Linked DNA regions of Arabidopsis thaliana. The main gene of each other region encodes a partner of the protein of the gene in region 3 in a complex. Each region holds a gene or a part of one and is shown on either strand. Other genes may lie near its edges. The genes, in order: AT2G10440, AT5G03500, AT3G52860 and NRB4.

What was found.
Region 1: AT3G52860 (region 3) and AT2G10440 share a complex: the UniProt entries of both Arabidopsis thaliana proteins name them as parts of the mediator complex.
Region 2: AT3G52860 (region 3) and AT5G03500 share a complex: the UniProt entries of both Arabidopsis thaliana proteins name them as parts of the mediator complex.
Region 4: AT3G52860 (region 3) and NRB4 share a complex: the UniProt entries of both Arabidopsis thaliana proteins name them as parts of the mediator complex.

The regions. Positions count from the first base shown.
Region 1 is NC_003071.7:4,013,249-4,019,726, reverse strand, and holds AT2G10440 (mediator of RNA polymerase II transcription subunit), read left to right. Parts: upstream 1-1,680; coding exon 1,681-1,802; intron 1,803-2,139; coding exon of another isoform or gene 2,140-2,166; intron 2,167-2,301; coding exon 2,302-2,404; intron 2,405-2,490; coding exon of another isoform or gene 2,491-2,557; intron 2,558-2,654; coding exon of another isoform or gene 2,655-2,713; coding exon 2,714-2,826; intron 2,827-2,916; coding exon 2,917-3,041; intron 3,042-3,084; coding exon 3,085-3,477; intron 3,478-3,519; coding exon 3,520-3,614; intron 3,615-3,706; coding exon 3,707-3,781; intron 3,782-3,905; coding exon 3,906-4,877; intron 4,878-4,964; coding exon 4,965-5,279; intron 5,280-5,356; coding exon 5,357-5,521; intron 5,522-5,563; coding exon 5,564-5,682; intron 5,683-5,764; coding exon 5,765-5,975; downstream 5,976-6,478. UniProt on the Arabidopsis thaliana protein: Component of the Mediator complex, a coactivator involved in the regulated transcription of nearly all RNA polymerase II-dependent genes.
Region 2 is NC_003076.8:875,912-880,181, forward strand, and holds AT5G03500 (Mediator complex, subunit Med7), read right to left. Parts: upstream 2,465-4,270; 5' UTR 1,863-2,464; coding exon 1,839-1,862; exon of another isoform or gene 1,756-1,838; coding exon 1,615-1,755; intron 1,533-1,614; coding exon 1,463-1,532; intron 1,290-1,462; coding exon 1,123-1,289; intron 1,034-1,122; coding exon 960-1,033; intron 823-959; coding exon 762-822; 3' UTR 529-761; downstream 1-528. UniProt on the Arabidopsis thaliana protein: Component of the Mediator complex, a coactivator involved in the regulated transcription of nearly all RNA polymerase II-dependent genes.
Region 3 is NC_003074.8:19,591,342-19,594,598, forward strand, and holds AT3G52860 (mediator of RNA polymerase II transcription subunit-like protein), read right to left. Parts: upstream 1,428-3,257; 5' UTR 1,401-1,427; coding exon 1,181-1,400; exon of another isoform or gene 991-1,180; coding exon 875-990; intron 792-874; coding exon 657-791; 3' UTR 507-656; downstream 1-506. Other genes in the region: VSR1 (vacuolar sorting receptor homolog 1), read left to right, coding at 42-154, 254-349; AT3G52870 (IQ calmodulin-binding motif family protein), read right to left, coding at 2,024-2,464, 2,571-2,672, 2,801-2,893, 2,991-3,137, 3,224-3,257. UniProt on the Arabidopsis thaliana protein: Component of the Mediator complex, a coactivator involved in the regulated transcription of nearly all RNA polymerase II-dependent genes.
Region 4 is NC_003070.9:5,430,617-5,438,171, reverse strand, and holds the start of NRB4 (mediator of RNA polymerase II transcription subunit 15a-like protein), read left to right. Parts: upstream 1-1,553; 5' UTR 1,554-1,818; intron 1,819-1,819; exon of another isoform or gene 1,820-1,958; coding exon of another isoform or gene 1,959-2,016; intron 2,017-2,242; coding exon of another isoform or gene 2,243-2,250; coding exon 2,251-2,363; intron 2,364-2,487; coding exon 2,488-2,599; intron 2,600-2,775; coding exon 2,776-2,893; intron 2,894-2,993; coding exon 2,994-4,379; intron 4,380-4,478; coding exon 4,479-4,549; intron 4,550-4,671; coding exon 4,672-4,746; intron 4,747-5,074; coding exon 5,075-6,358; intron 6,359-6,470; coding exon 6,471-6,815; intron 6,816-6,959; coding exon 6,960-7,166; intron 7,167-7,260; coding exon 7,261-7,555. UniProt on the Arabidopsis thaliana protein: Component of the Mediator complex, a coactivator involved in the regulated transcription of nearly all RNA polymerase II-dependent genes.

The DNA.
Region 1 (6,478 bases), on a different chromosome or scaffold from region 3:
GAAGTGTGTACGTATGTATATAATGTCTTCTTCCTCTCGCCGCTTATGTTACGAGCACGCAATGTTAACCTTATCAAAATCATAGAAATTTGATCTCAACTCTCAAGTCACCATCATCCTCCACTATCGAGTTCACCATCGTTGTAGTTTGTGGTTGTGGTCCCGATCGTGTTAAGTGGTGACGTGAAGTTATCGTCACGTAACATCCAACCCTAATCATCACCATCTGAGCCACTATTAGCCTTCTTCGTCCTCCTTCTTCACCGGAATCTAGATCTATCATTGGTGCTTTGTTTGGGTCTGTGATACCGAATCCTCTACTTCTTCGTTGCAGAGTGAGATAACGGTGAAACCTTATTCTCGTATTCATGTTAAGGTGTTGTGTTGTTTAATTATTGAACCAACCTAAACCAAGGGATTACGTATAGTTACGGCCATGAATTGAAACTTGATTATTAAGGAACCTTTTGAGTTGATCGGTTATGGCGTCAGTTGGGTTGTGTTAGTGAAGAAGACGATATAGTCAGTTATTGGCTTATTAGAAAGCGTTGGGTTAATTGTCAAACCAGAAGTAGCATTGACATGTACGTGATTTGAATTGTGGCGTTGGTTTAATTATTAAACCGGGGAGTATTTGGTCACGTAAATGGATGTGGCGTAGTCAATTACGTGTTAAGCAACTAATATTAAATTATTAGACTTGGTTTAGTTATTAGATTAAATAACAAATTATTAAGGGAATATAATCTTGATTGATTAATCTAAATTGTTGTAGTTTGAGATCGTTGTTGAGCCGGATCCATTGTTGCTAGTCCTATTTCTTAAAATCCAACCGAGTTGCCAAGGTGAGGGTAGGATCTGTGGAAACATAGTATCACCTTTACTTTTGTATTTCTGAATTTCATTTGTATAAGATTAGACATTGGGTGCTGATTGTTAAAATGTTAGGATTATATATTAAATATTGTTGATTCAGTAATCAAACAATGAATTTGTACTAAGGGATTTAGACAAATTCACTCCTCTCTTAGCTCACAAATAATCAAAGGAAAAGAACTAGGTTGCTTAAACAAAAAGCTAGGGTTTGCTCTGTAATAGTAGTCTCTTGTATTAGGTTAAAGATGATCTCAATGGGGGGTTTGACCCCTCTATTTATACAATAGGTCGAATATACCAAAATATGATAAACTTCTAATTATCTTAGGTTTAAATCTTCATTACTTCTATTCTTCATGAGATCCTCTTCTCTTAAATGGAAGTTTTCCCTTTACACGACCTAAGAAGTTGGTTATGGCGATCTTGATTGTCGACTTAAGTCTTCGGGCGATCTCATGACTTAGGCCCATTAACAGGCTAACCGGGATACCCCGGTTCAATCGAATTCTCGATTTTATTCACATTATTCCTCGGTTTAAATTAGTATTGTCGGAGGTGCTAATTCCTGCACCAACAAATATTATAATACGTGTTGTGTGATATTATGCGATAGGTTGTTAGCGTGATATGCATATTGATTTTTGAATACTCTTTTGTCGTTTTCTTGTACTATATATTTATCTGTTTTGTGTTACCATGTTGAGTAATTTCTCTAATCATTCTTTTGTTTGTTTGTTAAGGTTTAGCGAGGCGGTTCTTGGTCAAAGCCTATACATACATCTCCCCGTTAGGACGCATAACTTAATGGAGGGAAATACTAACTGGAAGCCTAATGAACAAGGCGGAAACCGTGATGCTGCGAATAATCGTATTGATTGGAGATCACAACATGAGCCTGAATTACGGCAAAAGGTTCTTTCAAAAATGTAAGCCATTCTTTCAAGAGTTTCATGTTTCTTTTGTTGGACTCATTGTTCTTATTTGATTATTAACATTCATGAAAGAGAGTAAGGTTTTCTTGGTCATGCTTTCGATGTGATATTTGTAGTTTGCGCATGATAAAGATTGCAACAGTTAAAGCATAAGAGTTGTGCATAAATGTTTATCATAGTTGACAAAACCTAACTTCAACCTTTTGTACTTTAAGTTTTGCATATTCTTTTAACCTCATTACCTGCATTTAGGCTCTTCCTCACTAGGAGAATCTTGTTTTACTCTCGCTTCTATGTACAATTGCTTGGCACATATGTATAATTGTTTCAGTGTTTGTTCGCTAAACGATTATCGTAAGTTCGAATATTAACTACGGATTATTTTCTCTGTTTTGTATTTTTAGTGCAATTAAAATGGTATCACTTCCTCTTGAATATCAGTTATAACCAAATTCTTCATAGTCACTGATATTTTGTTCTCATGTATGTGTAGAGTTGAAAAGTTCAAGGAAAAGTTTCATGCACATGAAGAATATAAGATTAACGACATCGCTTCCAAATTTGAAGAAAATTTTTATAGCATAGCAACCGATAAGGTGTTAAACTACAAATTGTTTCTCCATCTATTAACTTCAGAATCTGAATTTGATATCTTACTCATTGTCCCCTTGCTATGTTTCAGAATGATTACCTTAGGAAACTCAGTGAAACACTGCATTATATACAGAGAACTTACACTAGAGTTCTAGGTAATAAGTTTTTGGTTTCATAATTATACTATTTTAGCTTAATAACAAAGAAATCACTAACTAACTTTTTTTTTCTATGTGTTTATCTAAACATCAGCTTCTCAAGTAGTTGTGAATCAAGCTCAATCTCTTCCCGCCTTGTTGCCATATATGCAGACTACAACGAGCCAACAATGGTTACAGCAAAACACACAGAGCAATCTCTGTGTCATCTGCTTTGCCAAGTCAGGTCCCTATAACCGTTCCCGGTTCTCAAAGACAGATACATGGTAGGCAACAACTTCTTCCTCAGCAGCAACAGCCTCAAATGAATCAAATCCGCCATGGTAATTTACGACCTTCGCACATGCAACAACAAGCTCGGTCACCGCAGCCGCAACATCATCCGCAAAGTTTGTTGAAACAACCTATTCAACAGCCTTTTCCTCAATCAAGCTAACAAAACACTCAATCACTGACCAGAAATCAGTTTTCGATACAACGGGTCAGTTTTAGTCATCAACAACAGATGGTTCTGCCGTCTCAAGAACAGAAACGACAAGAACAAGAGCAACTCATTAATCAACTGACGAATCTTCCAACATCACGACCAAACAATAGAGACCAACAAGGAGCTTTTCAGGTATCCTCGTCTCAGCAGAACAATAATGTTACCTTACATGCAATGTCTCAACAGAAGAATAACCTCCAAAGTATGACTAGAGGTCAACAAGTAGGACAATCTCAACCAATGATGTCACAACAATACCGACAACAATACCCCATGCAGCAGGATCCTCAGAACAGAAACTTACAGAAACATTTGGATTTTGTACAAAACAATACCAATCAATTTCAAGCAGCAAGTTCGTTGCGCCAAACACAAAACATAACAGATCAACAGAACCAGCCACAACAATTAGAGAGAGCAAATCCATCTAGTATGTTTCCTCTCTTACTAACTCTTGTGATAATGTTTTTAGTTCTAATAATGAATATCATTGTAGCATCTCAAGATTCTACGGGAAAGACGGTAAATGTCAATGCCGGAAACTGGCAGGAGGAGACCTATCAGAAGGTATCTTCACTTGCTTTGCTCTTCACTTCTTAACATCACAATTAGGGTTTGATTTTGTTTTCAATTGATTCCCATTCTGATATGTCCTGCAGATAAAAAAACTGAAAGAGATGTGTTTACCTGTTCTCAGTTTAATGCACCAAAGAGTTGCGGAAAAATTGCGGGAGGTACTTTATTTTATAACCTAATTGTTTTGCTTGTGGAACAAGAATTTGTTCTAATGGTTTTCTTAATCATTTTTTTTTCTAAAACTTTGTGTTGTTTTTGGTTTAATAAACCTAATGTTTCCAGACTGAATCTCTTCCGCCGCAACCGATGCAAGCTCAGTGGATTGAAAAGCTAAAGGCGGGAAAATTGTCAATGGAACACCTTATGTTTTTCTTAAATGTTCATAGGAGCAGTGTATCAGAGAAACATAGAGACAAGTTTAGTCAATATGAGTACCACATATTGAAATTTACCAAGAGTCAGACCATGGTTTTGAGGCCAACGCAGCAACAACAAGGACAATTTCCTCCTTCTCAAACAGCAATGCAAACCCAAAGTCCTCAAGTCCATGTGTCACAGTCTCTTTATAAGGAGCAAAGGAGATCACGGTTGATGCCAAGTAGCCAAAATGAGGCCTCGTCTTTGTTGCAAATAAGGCCTAAGTTGGATCCAAGAGACGAGAACATCATTATGGCTTCCTCAGGAAATGTCATGTTACCTTCTGTTAAACAAAATCCTCGGGCCGTAAACACAAATATCAGTTCGGTTCAGTCGTTGCAGAAGCAGAAGCGATTCCATCACCGACAAATGCAACAACAACAACCACAACAAGGGAATCATCAACATCAAATGCAGACAAATGAGATGAATGATGTGAGGATGAGGGAGAGGGTCAACATTAAAGCCAGGTTGCTTGAGCAACAAGTCTCATCGAGTCAGCGCCAGGTTCCAAAGCAAGAGTCTAACGTTTCATCCTCTCAGATACAGAACCACTCTTCTCCTCAGTTAGTTGACCAGCATATTCTTCCTGCGACGATTAACAAAACCGGAACCCCATTGAACTCTAGTGGTTCGGCTTTTGTTGCTCCAGCTCCATCTCCAGTTCCTGGAGATTCTGAAATGCCTATATCTGTTGAGTCTCCAGTTTCTGGTGTTGATGAAATAAACTCAACTTTAGATTCTTCTAGTAAACTTGGCACACAAGAAACTCCTCTGTTATTTGTTCCTCCGCCCGAGCCAATCACAGAGCGGCCTATTGATCGACTTATAAAAGCGGTAAGTAAACTCTATAGCTTATCTAAGTTTACTTTCTTTACCTTCTCCTATTTACTGACCTAATTTTTAATGTGTGTGGCTTTCTAGTTTCAAGCAGCATCACCAAAATCATTGGCAGAATCTGTAAGTGAGATTAGCTCGGTGATTAGTATGGTTGACATGATTGGAGGATCGTTCCCTTCTAGTGGAGGATCTAGAGCTGGTTTAGGCGAGGATTTGAGTGAGAGGACAAGAAACTTTACCACACACGAAGAAACAAATCTGTCTAAGAGAATGAAGCGATCAATCAACATTGTGCCGCCAGATATGTCATCACAAATTGATAGTTATGAACAGTTGAGTAGCCTTGAATCTGAAGTTGTTTCCACAACATCATCTGGCTTGAAAGTTAACAATATTGCGGTAAAATCTACTCTATTGGTATCGAACTACGAAAACAAATGAAACATCGAAATAAATCCATTTTTTCAATCTTGTAGCCTGGTTATGCCCTTTTGCAAGAAATCAAAGAAACAAATGGGAGACTTGTAGAGACAGTGGTAGAGATATGTGATGAAGATTCTTTAGGAACAATCGTCACTTGTACTTATGCTCCTGTGGCTCTCAGTGCCACATTCAAAGATCATTACAAGTCTGGAAAAATTGTAAGTTACTTCAAACTTCTTCTTTTTCCTCACTCTGCTCAGATTTTTTATGTCTCTAAATGTTTGATGCAGGCACAGATTCAACCTTTACGCTTACTATTTCCTATGGATTATCCGTATAGTTCTCCGATAGTTCTCGAGGAAATCTCCTTTGACACTAGGTATGAATCTTTCTTAGAAATCAAGTAACAACGATTGGAGTAAATATATATGATCTTAAGGATTTATATCTGCATGTTTCAGTGTACACAAGTATGAGGATCTATCCGCGAGAACCAGATCAAGGTTCAGTTTGTCCATGAAGGAATTTTCAGAACCAGGGTTTTCGAAAGGAATAGCTCAAACGTGGAATGATTGTGCGAGAGCGACAATGGTTGAGTACGCAGAGAGACATGGTGGAGGCACTTTCAGCTCCAAGTATGGTGCTTGGGAAACGGTTCTAAGAGCTTCATGAGGACTAATACTTCCTTTCTCACTCACCGTACAAGATAGTTTTTAGGTGGGAAGCCTTATAGCCCAAGTTAGGTTTTTTTTTATTTCCTTTGAGATAGAAGTAACATTTATTTGTATGGTGTGGCTCATGTCTTCTTATTGTATATATTTTAACAAGAAATTATAATTGTTTCAAAACCGATAGTATAATAAATTATCTTGAAATATTTAGGCACAAAGCCTTTTTTTTAAAAAAGATTTTAAAGTATTTTATTGTTTTTTCTTATTACATGTTTCATTTATAGAGCCCAAAAGGTTGGAATATAAGTTTTAAAAAAGGATTACAGAAAATGAAGCCAAGCCTATAAAACTAAATCATCCTTAGTAATTTAAACATCCACTCATAAAGATTTTGCTGATGAAACGTGTTGATGAAGTGTTTTGCCCTATGACACGGGCCGAGACGTCAAGCACCGCTGTTGAATTCGCGGGAAACCGCTAGAATTCACCAAAATGTTGAGAATC
Region 2 (4,270 bases), on a different chromosome or scaffold from region 3:
AGAGAATGACATATCATACATGATCAAGGCAGGTGATGATTACTGAGCTTACTTACTTTTAACATGCAAAGACAAAAACAAACAAAGGTAAATACATTATAAAAAAACAAAGAGGTTCGTCTCCTCCTAATTCTCCATCTCCCTCCTAATTCTCCATCTCCATCCTCTTTCTCCTGTCCATATCCATCTTAATCTTCATCTCCATCCTCTTGTGAAGAGAAATAGAGTGAGTAAGAGGAGAGTCCATAAGGAGAAGAAGATTACTTTGATGGCGGATTCGTCCATGCTGATGATAAATTGACAAGACCGACTGCTAGGGTTCCAAAGATATTTGACAGGATTTAGCTTTGAACAAGGTTAATTTTTTTTTGTTCAACTATTTTTTGTTGATTCCCTTATAAAGCTGTTGTTGTTGTTCAGATACTTACGTGTAGTTACGAACAAACTGTCGGGTCTTCAATTTAGTTTAGCCCTGCGTTAAGCCCATATTGGTCTAATCTTCTTATGAATCCGTTATGGTTATAATAGTTCCCGTTAAGCCGAAATTGTAATAATAAATGTTGAACCGCACTAACCGGCGGAACTAAATGCCGGTTCACGGGTAACATTGAATAAAGATGATATAGGCTTTACTTGTTGAATCATGAGATTGCACACGTCTGTCTCTCTCTCTCACACACACAGGATCAATTAAAAAAAGTTTCGAGGGCATAGGTTATTAGCGCTAATTTACACAAAATGGGATTAACAAAAAGTATACTTTATTGACCATCTAAAGTGACGAAAGCATCCTTAAGAAGTCCTTGTGCTTCTTCTCTCCTCCTGCACACAACCAAAACATCAAACGGACCCATAAGAACAACCAACAAAGCTTCTGAAGAATCTTTAAACAGATGATAGATTGATATTAAATTATTAACACACCATAAAGACAGAAAACTTAAGTAGCATATACAAACCTCTTAATGTCTTCCACAGCTTGTTTCCTCTGTTGAATTTGAAGTTCCATAATGTGAATAAGCGTTGCTCTCGCCTATACAACAAGAGAAAGATCAAAACGATGAAAAAACAAAAAGTGTTGAAACCATGTTGTAATTAATCGAAAGATGAGAGCTTCTTTACTTGGTGAGGCCTCAAGGAATTGAGAAGGTGATGCAAGTTCTTGAAGATTGAAGAAATTTCACCAATTCTCTTCGCATATTGAGAAGGTCTGTCAACAAGAACATCAGCAAGCTCCAATATATGTAACTGTAGTTCTCTATTCAGTGACCTGAGTTCCTTCTTGTAATCTACACACAAAGATATTTGAACTCAAAGAGGTACTTTCAAAGAACATAACTTGCAAATGAACTCATGTAATAAGTTTGATTCCAATGAAGGGAAGAACCAAAAACCATACTCTAGACAGCCAATAGCAATTGCATTTTGAGTTTGATTTCACAGAGTTAGGAGAATGACATACCAAGATTAGAATCTTTTGGATAAAGTTGAGGCACTCCTTGTTCTTCTAAGCTTGGAAGAACATCTTCAGTCTACTAACCAAAAAAATTGAAAATTGCTAAAAACACATAAAGATGAAGATTTTAAAGAGGGGGAAATGTGGAGGAGACTCACAGTATAGTTGCCTCCAAAACAGACGTAGGTGCCTTCAATCGGAGGAGGAGGTTCAGGAGCAGAATCAGTGTTTTCTGAGAAATCCTTGTAGAGTCTGTAATATGGAGGAGGAGGTGGATATGTAGCTGTAGCCATTATTCTCTACATATCCAAATCAAAAACTAAGCAAAATCAGTAACAGATTCCTAAAATTAGGGTTTCTAATCAAAAACAAATCCGTCTACCGCCATAAAACAATCTGTTCTCATTAGAATACAACTATGTCATCACTACCAAATAACTCTGCGACCACTAGAAACTAATCTGTCATCACTAGAAACTAATCTGTCATCGTCACGTTGAAGTAGCCGCCACCACCACAACCGTGTTATTCCTAAATCACCACCAATTTGTCCAAAATCGTCAAATGCTTAACAGTAGATTTCAATTGATTCATGAGGAAAAAAGAAAGGTCAATACAAAAAATCCAGTGGCCACAAATGGGTAGGGAGACGAATGAGTTGGTGGCGACAAGGAGAATCTGAGGGAGAGAAATAAAAAAATCCCTTTCACGGGAAGCATAAAAGACAGAGTGAAAATAATAGAACTCACTGGAGATTCGCCAGAGAGATGGCTCGGCGGAGAATTCACGCAGCCGGAGAAGACGATCGGAAGAAGACACGCTCACCAGAGAAAGCAAATCGAGATTTGTTTCCTCTCTTTTAGTTGGGCCTTTAATTTAGTTCAGGCCTGCTTTAAGCCCATATATTCCTAATCTTCTTATTCCTCGTGAAGCTTAAAACGTATTTCTAGAGCCGTTGAGGGATTTGCTATATGGGGGAAGACTCTGTTCCACCCACCTATATCAGAATTCAGAACCATTTTATATGCTTCAAATGACAAAAGAAAAATGTTTTTAAAATATTGGAATTCAATTGTGCAAGTTTCGGTATAATTTGTTTAGGTGATCCTTGCAAGTTGCAACAACTACTTAACGGTTTTTGAGAAGCCTTGTAAAAAAGGTTTTGTTAGGATGGTGATGATGAATGTATGATGGGTGACGACTAATTATGTTTATGATTTTATTTATTTATTTATAAAGTATATGCTTTGCTTAGGTTGAGTAGTGAAGCTAGCTAGTTGGCAAGTAATGGCTTCTTTTGGCGGCCAAGCAATTCTCTATCTCTCTTTCACACACACAATCCTCGACGCCAAGACTTAAATCAATTCCTCCTGATTTATTCATTTTAAAATTGTGATGATACTAGCTTCACAATACACTCAAAAATATTCTTCTTAATGATCTATTGTATGTATAGTAACACGTTAGCAAAAGATAATCATTGAGAGCCAAAGACAACTAATGTGTATAGAGTTGAATGAGTAAAAGTTGGATATCAATCCAGCTCTAAGAAACTCATTATGTAGAATGAATATTAAAAAAACATGTGTTTCTTGAATTTTATAAATTGCTGTCACCGAGTTTATTAGTATACTATACTACAAAGACCTAGACTACAGTTACAAACTACGATAAGGGAGGTTACTTCATCGAATACATATTATTAGCTAATCACAAGATTAATAATGGTTTGATCAAATAATTGGATAACCAAAATAAAAATCAAAGTTTCTTAGAAAGAGGCGCAAACATAGGGAGTGATATTATATATTTAATTCGTTTTAGCTAATATCATTATAACTAAATATTGTATACATAACTAGAATCATGATTCATAATTGTGTGTTGTGTAATTGTGGGTTGGCTCAACTGCACATGAACTGCTCGACCCCAAAATTCGATTGCCTTTTACTTTCCAATTAATTAACTTAATTATTTAATCAGCAACTTAAGTGTACATATATCCGCAATGATTAGTAGTATTAAGAAACAAAAACAGAATTCGACGTATTTTCAAGTTAAATTTGTACTTTAGTAGCTTTTATATATAATAGTTGGTTTCAAATCTTTAATGTAATTTGTTACAAAACGTAATAAGTTTGCAGGAATTTATAATATGCTTGAATTGTGTGTGTTGTGGTACTGTGTTTCGTGTTGAAACTACTTGTGGATGACTCAAGCCATCAATATAAAATTATTTATAAAGTTTTAGGATTTTAGTTAGTGATAATGTGAAATCAAAGGAAAAAAAATCAATAAATTGAGTGGCATATTTAGAATACGCAATCCAGTTTGATTCTTCTTAATATAATACATTACATTCCAAGTGTCAAAATTGTAGTTCATTTTATTAATAAGAAAAAATGGTATATGTAGAATGACACCTTCTTGAACAGAAAACACAGATTTAATTTCATTTTCAGAAAGAAAATAAAATAACATCTTCTAAGATTAGTGTTGACATTGAATCCACATTTTTGTTACTTTAGCTATAATGATGTGTGTCTTTTGAAATTATAAGGATGCTTATGAGTATTTAATAAGTAAAATACTAGTATTTTTTTTTATGTGATTCATAAGACAAGCAAAACAAAAGTTAACCAAAAAAAGAGAAAATCATTTAAAAAAAATTGAAAGGAAAAAAATAAAAACAAGAAGAGAACAACAAGTGGTTCCAGGCTTGCAAACCAAAACTTCCAGAAAGGAATCCTTCACCAAAAGTTATTTTGGGTTTGCTTCTTTTCTCATCTTTTCTCTTACCCATTACATTATATA
Region 3 (3,257 bases):
ATTAATCAGACTTTCTGCTTTTGAATCTGGTGAATGTGTAGGTTCAGGCAAAGTTGGAACCACAAAACTCAGCTGGAGCTTTTTGTGGATCCTTATAATCGGGGTGGGTGTTGCAGGTCTTTCTGGATATGCAGTCTACAAATACAGAATCAGGGTATACGATGTTCTTTACTCTGGTCTTGTTATCATATTAAAACATAGGAAGATTTTGCGGTCTAGATAGAGATGCTAAGTAACAATTGAAATTATGCAGAGTTACATGGATGCGGAAATTAGAGGGATCATGGCACAGTACATGCCATTGGAAAGTCAACCACCCAACACAAGTGGTCACCATATGGATATATGAGTGAAGTTATCAACACAAGCCAAGAGACTCTCTCTCTTTCTATGAGTAGCTTTAAGTTTCCATGTAAATGAATCAATGGACTTGATACAACTCTAGAGAAAAGAAAAAAGCCACAAACAGAAATAAGTGTACCTGCACTATTTGTAAGAAATGTGGATTTGCAGATGGAATCTCCTTTTTGTCTGCATATTACTCTTACAATGTAAAATAGACATAACTGGATGAATAATGAGTGTTACATTATTTACTGTTGAAACTAACTTAAGATCCATAAGAAGAAAAACAATAAACTTTGATTGAGAGATTGTTAAACTTTCTCCAGCTCATCTCTGTGTTTCTCAATCTGTTCTTTCACAAGCTTCTGCGACTCTTGGAAAAGCCTCATGTGCTTCTTTATAAGCTCATCTTTTGTCTTAAGCTCTTCCTCCATTACTGCAATATCCTGTTAAGAACAGAACAGAAGAGAGCAGAAACTGGTAAGACAATATGTGTTTGGAGTTTTCACATTGGTAAATCAAACCACACCTTCTTAAGGCTTTCAGCTCTCGAGGGCGCGCGATCTTCTCGCTTTAGTCCCATGAAGTAAAGCTGAAGCTTTTTCGCAGCTTCCATGAAATCTCTGGCGTGCCGCTCCACATCAACTGCAGCAGTTCAATGAGGGGAATTAAGCTAGAACATCGAATATGGAATCAAAGCTTCGGTTTCAACTGAATTCTAAGCACAAAATTCACTGAGATCATAAGTTAAGCACAAAAACAAACACAACTTCCAAACTATCATTCAAACTAAAACCCTAGAATGGTGAAATTGGAGAGTAGAAAAGGGACTGACTTTGATGAGAAGGGTGAGGAGAGCGATCGATGGCCTGAAGCTCTCTCGCCGGCAAACATGGTAACAGAGCAGCTTCCAAGGCTGTGACGCAAGCCATAATGTCCTCTATGTCATTATTCTGATTGTTCGAGGGGGTCTCCGGTGATCTGATTCCCGGTGGACGGTCAGGCGGTGACGGCGAAGGGTCAGAAGACTGCGGCGGCTTTTGCTGATAATCCATTCACGCCGATCTCGATCTCTCTTTCTCTCTGCTTGTTTGTTTGCCCATAAGGTTTAGTGAAAAATATTATAATGGGGGCCCATTTACTGGATTTAATTTGGGCTTATTGGGCCTTTTCCACATTCTTAATTGTTCTTAAGAATATCATTTTGATGTAATTAATTGAAAACACTGAAAATTCATTTTTAATAAATATATGAAGTAAATCATTTATTTCATATGAAAAAACAATAGTAAGGAGAAGGAACAACATTTTCTGATACTTTACTCTTGATTTGATGTCACAAGATATAACAGATGATGGCTTTTGTAACAAATTTTGATTCCTTATGTAACTTTTTATCTCCATCAAATTAGATAAGTTACATCCTTACTTAAAGATTTTTTAGCTATGGATTTTCTAATGAAATTTGTAAAATGAGTAAGCGATTGACTAAATACTGTAACCATTCTCTTCATTATCAGTGAAAATAGCTTTTAACACATCTCTCATTCTCTTCCTTCTGATTCACAATCATCCATGTGAAAAGATGACAACAAAAACCTTAGATAGAGAACTCACACATTAGTTACAGAAGAAAGATTCTCATTTACTACTACATAAGGAAGTACGGAACATATGATCAGACATCAAGCTTCCCGGTCGGAGAAAGTCTGCTACTCCGGTATTTAGGAGACAAGTTAACAAACTCCAAAGCCTGTGTTCTGAGCTGAACCGGATAATCAGCTGCACAACCGATTCTTGGACCAACTCCTGTCGACCATTTCAGTGACAACTGATGTCCCAATTGTAATGATCTTGACTGTTTCTTTGAGTTTATCCTTAGTAGCATAGATTTCTGCGGCACGTTAGCTTTTGGACTCCCAAGTCCACCTGAGAGTGTTCTCTGGTAGCTACTCCGTTTTGCCTCCTCAAGTGTTCCCACTGTTCCGTTACCGTTCTCATCTGTTTCAGTCTCTGCTTGGAATGTTGTGTCCTCTTTCTTTAACGGTTCCGGTTCAGATCCTCCGTTGGATTTAACATAATCATCGTAGCTGTCAGAATCTTCACTAGCTTTATGCACCTACACATACATAGATATATTAGCTCTCAAGTAGTCTCTTTTTCTAAACAACCAAACTCTAGTTAATGATATCATTCACCAGCCAAGATTAGAACAAGGGCATTACCTCAACATTGTCTAGGTTCACTGCGTTCTCTCTGAGAAACCCGAGAAATGTGTCGAGACTATCGTCTGACGGCCTGTAATGTCCGCTATATGCAGAGATTGTCTGAGATTAAACCGAAAACAGAACGATCAAACAGAGAAATCACAGAAGGCAGACATAATAAAAAAGTTGATATGAATGAACATGTATCTCAACCACTCTAAGAAAAGGACGTGGCCTTAGTAAGTTACCTTGAGAACTCCATTGTCAACAATCACCCTCCCAGCAGCTAATGTAGCTCCTCCAGCCAAAAAGCTTGAGTGATGGAACCTTCCTTTCTTTTTCTGAAGTAAACATAAACAAAGAAAAGAACCATTAGAATCTTTTTCAATACTAATATCAATTCATCACCAATAGAAAGATATAACGGTTTTAACTTACCAGACCGGCATAGAGTTTCTTGAAAGTACTCATAACAAAGATCCATTTTGTTCCTTCCGATCCATGCATTGTGTGTAAGAACTTTCCAGTTAACTTGTGAACAATCTTCCCTTCTATGATCACATACTCATACTCTTCCCTCTCTTGCTGATACCAGAAAAGGCTTATATGAGAGAAATCCCAAAAACAAGTAAAACCAATATTGACATAAGAGAGGAAAAAATGGCACATACAGGTCCAAGATATCTAATGCATTGCTGCTTAAGC
Region 4 (7,555 bases), on a different chromosome or scaffold from region 3:
TACACATAGACAACCTCTGTCATAAGAAAAGTTTCTCTTTTGACTTATAGGACATGTACACTTGACAAGTTAGGTGAGTTTGATTGTTTCTTAGGTAATGATACTGAAATTTACATTTGTTAAATATGTATAAAACCTTCAACCGGTTTTGTGTTTTGTTTGATGAATATTATGTGATGATTATTCTAAAATCCCCTATAATAAAAAAGTTATAAAAAAAAAAAAATTTTTAGTCTGATTATATTTATATCATAGTTCATTAACAAAACAGTTAAAATAATTGAATTAAGAAAGGACACAAATGTATTTCAAAATTAATTGAAAATCGTCTTTATTTGCTTTTATTTTTAAAATCAGATTATTAAGGATTTTATTCCTTAACTATCTACATATACATTTTTGCAGTCATTTTAGCAAATAAATCTTAGAGTTGGACTTATTTACAACCCAATGCCATTAACATTAAATATTTTCCAAAATAATTAATTTTACTTTAAATTTTTAATTTAAATTGTCAATCACATTATCAATCAAATTTAATCCAAACAAACTTCACATCAATCCCTTAAAATTAGCATAAACGTATTTTATTAACTATATTTTAAAACAATGTTTTTTGTTTAAATAAATATTATTCTTACTAAACGTTTTTTGTTTAAATAAACAAATCATGTATTTGAACTTATTTACAATGTCATACTACTGACATTAATTATTTAGGCATGAAAATATTTATTTAAGGATTTAAATCTTCTAAATTCTTGCTTTTAGAGTTATTATATCATTACCTAAAAGGCAAAAAATATTAATTTTTTAAATATTATTATTTGTATATTTAAACTTCATAAAACATTATCAATATTTGAATTTATAAAAAGTTTAATTTATCAAAAAAATTAACATCATTATATAATATATAGAGTTTTAAAAAATCTCAAAAAAAAATTCGTCATATTTTGTGATTCGAAATTTTAAGAATGAACATATATTAACCAATTGGCGAAAAATGTGTGGGTTCAATGTCACGCAACGACTAAAATATTTTGACAATGATTCATAAACATATTATAAATAAGATCAACATTAATAAAATAAATAGTTTTTTTTTTGGACGGGTTTGGCAGGACATGTTTGGTAGGACGGATTTGGCAGGACGTTACTTAGTAACAATGGTAAACTATAAAATAATTTACAAATTTTATATATATTAATTTTTAAAAATGAATTGTCTCCGCGGTGTATCGCGGGTTAAAATCTAGTAAGGTTTATTTTTCCAACCTATAAAATTATTAATAAAAAATGCTGTTTTGTTAAAAAAAACGTAAACAACATATGTGACTTAATGTACTTTTATTATATCTAATTTTATTATCACTTTATAATCACTTTTCTAAAACGTTTTCTAAAATGAAACGAAAAATATATAATTTATTTAAAATTGAAAAATAGTGGTCATATTATCTAGTTAACAAATTTCTAATACATTTTGCACCAATGCTACCATATTTGAACTGGGAAAACTATACAATTATACATGTGGTAATTAATACTAGATTTTTTTGTTTATTTTGAAAAAAAAAAAAACTTGTTATAAGCGAACTGGTAGGCTCGATTATGATTTACGACGCGAACAAGTTTCCTCTGTCTCTTTACCTAGAAGATCCTATATTCTTCATTCGTTTTTCGATCAAGCTAAACCCTAAATCCAGCTCCAATTTCCCCTTTTTCTCCTCTGTTTTCCTAATATCAAGCCCTAATCGTTGTACCAACCTTGACTCCGTCAAACGCCAAATCTCCTTGATTGGCTCTGAATTTGAGGTGAAATGTTCGAATCTCGTTTTTTTTTCTGTTGTTCTTAAGCCTTGCTTTTTAGAGTTTTCTCTTTTGATCGGGATTCCAAAGAAGATAAAGTATCTCCCTTTGTAGTTGGGTCTGGTTTATTACAATTACGAGAATAGATGAACTTTGTTGATGTAATAAAGTTTGCTTATTTTGAGTTCCTGGATTCTCGTTCCGGTGGGATTGGCTATTTGATGTTTTGAGTTTATTGCTTTTTGCTACCAACATTAGAAAGAATGAACATTTTGGCTGATCAATAAGAAATTCTGAGTGTTAATCTAATCCATGTTGTGTGGTCATTTGTTTCCTGTTGATTTGGGATAATCAGTTGTTATATTGTCATGTTTTGGTTTCTCTGTATACTTACTATTGATACTTTGCTCTTCATGGCTTGTAAACACAGAAAACTTGATGGATAATAACAATTGGAGGCCTTCTCTTCCAAACGGAGAGCCTGCCATGGATACAGGTGACTGGAGAACGCAATTGCCACCTGATTCTCGTCAGAAGATCGTCAACAAGATGTAAGTCACTCTAGCGGCGTTGTTTTGTCTATGCCAGTCAAATACTACAGAAATAGAAGGTTATTATGTTCCTTGACCAATAGTTAGTTTGTTTGTTTTACTTATTTGCTTGCCACTTGCGCAGAATGGAAACACTAAAGAAGCACCTTCCATTTTCCGGACCAGAGGGAATTAACGAGCTCAGGAGAATTGCAGCTAGATTCGAGGAGAAAATTTTCAGCGGTGCTCTTAACCAGGTTATTATGAACATATATTCTTGTTTCGTTAGTATGGTAAATATAGAGATTTGTGAGGCAATGGACTCCACAACATGGAAAAGAACTGACTTTCGGTATCTGTAAAGCTAAGCCACAATATGTTGGGTATGAAATCCATGTATACCTTCCTGATACTCTTTTATATCGCCTTTCAGACTGATTACCTTCGGAAAATATCAATGAAGATGCTGACAATGGAGACTAAATCACAAAATGCAGCTGGTTCTTCCGCAGCTATCCCTGCCGCTAATAATGGCACATCCATAGATTCGAGTAATCACGATTCTCAAGCATGAATTGCTTAAGTCTGTTTATCTGGTTTTATGGCTAATTGTTCCTCTTATTTGATGCTGTTTAACCTTTCCTTGAATAGTACCCACCAATCAAGGCCAACTTCTTCCAGGATCGTTATCAACCAATCAATCTCAAGCACCTCAGCCGTTGCTGTCCCAAACCATGCAGAATAATACTGCCTCTGGAATGACGGGTTCTACTGCTTTACCATCTTCCATGCCACCTGTTTCTTCCATAACCAATAATAACACCACAAGCGTTGTGAACCAGAATGCCAATATGCAAAATGTAGCTGGAATGTTGCAAGATTCATCTGGGCAGCATGGCCTTTCCTCGAACATGTTTTCAGGACCCCAAAGGCAGATGCTGGGTAGGCCACATGCTATGTCTTCACAGCAACAACAGCAGCCATATCTTTACCAGCAGCAGCTACAGCAGCAACTTCTCAAGCAGAACTTCCAGTCAGGGAATGTTCCCAATCCCAATTCGCTTTTGCCATCACACATTCAACAACAGCAGCAAAATGTGCTGCAGCCTAATCAACTGCATTCATCTCAACAACCTGGTGTTCCAACATCTGCGACTCAGCCCTCCACTGTGAACTCAGCTCCTCTCCAAGGTCTCCACACCAATCAGCAATCAAGTCCGCAATTGTCTTCTCAGCAGACGACACAATCTATGCTTCGTCAGCATCAATCGTCGATGCTAAGGCAACATCCGCAATCACAACAAGCCTCTGGTATCCATCAGCAGCAATCTTCATTGCCGCAACAATCAATTTCTCCTCTACAGCAGCAGCCTACACAATTAATGCGGCAACAAGCTGCAAATAGCTCAGGCATCCAACAGAAGCAGATGATGGGGCAGCATGTTGTTGGGGATATGCAGCAGCAACATCAGCAAAGGTTACTGAACCAACAAAATAATGTTATGAACATACAACAGCAGCAGTCGCAGCAGCAACCACTGCAGCAGCCACAGCAACAGCAGAAACAGCAGCCACCGGCCCAGCAGCAGTTGATGTCTCAACAAAACAGCCTCCAGGCAACGCATCAGAACCCACTGGGCACTCAAAGCAATGTTGCAGGATTGCAGCAACCACAACAACAGATGCTCAATTCCCAGGTTGGCAATTCGAGTTTGCAGAATAACCAGCACTCGGTGCACATGTTATCACAACCAACGGTTGGGCTGCAACGAACACATCAGGCTGGCCATGGCTTGTATTCTTCTCAGGGACAACAGTCACAAAATCAGCCATCACAACAGCAGATGATGCCACAGCTTCAATCGCATCATCAGCAGCTGGGTTTGCAACAACAACCTAATCTGCTACAACAGGATGTGCAACAAAGGCTACAAGCTTCAGGCCAAGTCACTGGTTCCCTGCTTCCACCTCAAAATGTTGTGGACCAACAGAGACAACTATATCAATCCCAAAGAACCCTTCCGGAGATGCCATCATGTATGCTTTTGATCCTTTTAATACTTTAGGTTCTGATATTTTCCATAATCTCTCAGCAGGATATGATGCTGAACATATTTTCGTTTTTATAATTCTTAGCATCGCTGGATTCGACAGCACAGACGGAAAGTGCAAATGGAGGTGATTGGCAAGAGGAGGTTTACCAAAAGGTAGTTCTCTCTTTTTGTGTTTGCTATATATCTTTACCAATTATGGCTACACTTATTAAATCTTCAAGTGATAGATATCATTGTAATGAGTAATCATATGACCATATTGCTTGTCTTTGTAGATCAAATCTATGAAAGAGACTTACTTACCAGATCTGAATGAAATCTACCAGAGAGTTGCAGCAAAGTTGCAGCAAGTAAGTTACAATTTTCTTTTCTTTTTTATACTAGGAGAATCGTTTGTACGTCTATGTCCTCTGGAACAGTAGTGAGTACCTTCTGAGAAGCTTTATGAATTCAATGCAAGTTCGGTTCGTTATTGCATAAGAACGTCATCAACTTTGGAGTCTTGTTACCCATTTAACAAAGAAAAAGAAAAAGAATCTTGAGACTCGTATTCTTACAGTTTACTAGAAAATCAACCTGCTGATATTTATGTTCCTTCCCAAACCTACAGAAGTTGTAGCTTGCATCTATGTATTTGTTTCTTTTTTATTTAGTAAGTTATTTTTGTATCTGGAGCAGGATTCTATGCCACAGCAACAAAGATCAGATCAGCTTGAGAAACTGAGACAATTCAAAACAATGTTGGAGCGAATGATACAATTTCTATCTGTTTCAAAGAGCAACATCATGCCCGCATTAAAAGATAAGGTGGCTTATTATGAGAAGCAGATTATAGGTTTCTTAAATATGCACAGGCCGAGGAAGCCAGTACAGCAAGGGCAGCTTCCGCAATCTCAGATGCAGCCTATGCAGCAACCACAATCTCAGACAGTTCAAGATCAATCCCATGATAACCAAACAAATCCGCAGATGCAATCAATGAGCATGCAGGGTGCTGGGCCAAGGGCACAACAGAGTAGTATGACAAATATGCAGAGCAATGTTCTATCATCTCGTCCTGGAGTTTCAGCTCCACAGCAGAACATTCCCAGTTCCATACCGGCTTCTAGTTTAGAATCAGGCCAAGGAAATACCTTGAACAATGGACAGCAGGTTGCCATGGGATCTATGCAACAAAATACTTCTCAACTAGTAAATAACAGTTCTGCCTCTGCTCAAAGTGGGTTGAGCACACTGCAGTCGAATGTGAATCAACCCCAGTTAAGTTCCAGTTTGCTTCAGCATCAGCACCTCAAGCAACAGCAAGATCAACAAATGCAGCTCAAACAGCAATTTCAACAGCGCCAGATGCAACAGCAACAGTTGCAAGCAAGACAGCAACAGCAACAGCAACAGTTGCAAGCAAGACAGCAAGCGGCACAATTACAGCAGATGAATGATATGAATGATTTAACATCGAGGCAGGGGATGAATGTCAGTCGTGGGATGTTTCAGCAACATTCTATGCAGGGTCAGCGTGCGAATTATCCTCTTCAACAGTTAAAACCAGGAGCTGTTTCGTCGCCTCAACTTCTGCAAGGTGCATCTCCTCAGATGTCACAACATTTGTCTCCTCAGGTTGACCAGAAAAATACTGTCAACAAGATGGGAACTCCATTGCAACCTGCAAATTCCCCTTTTGTTGTCCCATCTCCTTCTTCAACCCCCTTGGCTCCGTCCCCTATGCAAGTTGACTCTGAGAAACCTGGTTCTTCTTCGTTGTCAATGGGAAATATTGCACGCCAACAAGCAACCGGCATGCAAGGTGTAGTTCAGTCCCTAGCAATTGGCACTCCAGGGATCTCTGCCTCTCCTCTCCTTCAGGAGTTTACTAGTCCTGATGGGAATATTTTAAATTCTTCGACAATTACATCTGGAAAACCGAGTGCTACTGAGCTGCCTATTGAACGCCTTATTAGAGCCGTAAGTAAATTTCCAATTTTTAAGGGTATATCGCAGCAGGACGGTGATATTGCTGCAAACCCGTTTTGTAATATAATCATTGTTCTGCTTATGATGTATGCTTTGCTTTCAGGTGAAGTCCATCTCACCACAAGCCCTTTCTTCTGCAGTAAGTGACATCGGATCTGTTGTAAGCATGGTTGATCGGATAGCTGGTTCAGCACCAGGAAACGGTTCAAGAGCTTCCGTTGGTGAAGACTTGGTTGCAATGACTAAGTGCCGTCTCCAAGCAAGAAACTTCATGACCCAAGAGGGAATGATGGCGACTAAGAAAATGAAGCGTCACACAACCGCAATGCCACTAAGCGTTGCTTCACTGGGAGGAAGTGTTGGTGATAACTACAAGCAGTTTGCTGGTTCAGAAACATCCGATCTAGAATCTACTGCGACTTCGGATGGCAAGAAGGCAAGAACTGAGGTATGATACTCAGTTAGACTTCCCCTAGCTATATTTGAATATTGACACACACTCACACACACACACACACACGTAACAAAGAAAATTTGGAAGCACAAGGTTTCGATATTCTTTTTTTTTTGAAGACTCAATCTTGAACTGCAGACCGAGCATGCCCTTTTGGAGGAAATAAAGGAAATAAACCAGCGGCTGATAGATACAGTTGTTGAGATAAGTGATGATGAAGATGCTGCTGATCCTAGTGAGGTTGCAATATCAAGCATAGGGTGTGAAGGAACAACAGTTAGATTCTCGTTTATAGCTGTTTCTCTCAGCCCAGCCTTGAAGGCTCATCTCTCATCAACACAAATGGTAAACATGGTCATCTCGTTAACATTAACGTTTTGTGAAACAAAATATTTCATTTATCCTTTTTTATAATATATGCTTTGTGCTTCTATTACAGTCTCCTATTCAACCATTGCGTCTGCTGGTTCCTTGTAGCTACCCCAATGGCTCTCCATCTCTTCTAGATAAACTCCCGGTCGAAACCAGGTACAAGCAAATCCTTCAGTCTCAAGTAAATAGAACCATAGATTTTCCGTACCGAGTCGAGCAAACTTCTACGATACAGTTAAAATCTTCACAAGAATCATCTACTAGAAACCCTTTATTAGAAACTGCGTTATCTTCTTACCGTAACACGGTCTGGTTTCTTGAACAGCAAAGAAAACGAGGACCTGTCGTCCAAAGCTATGGCA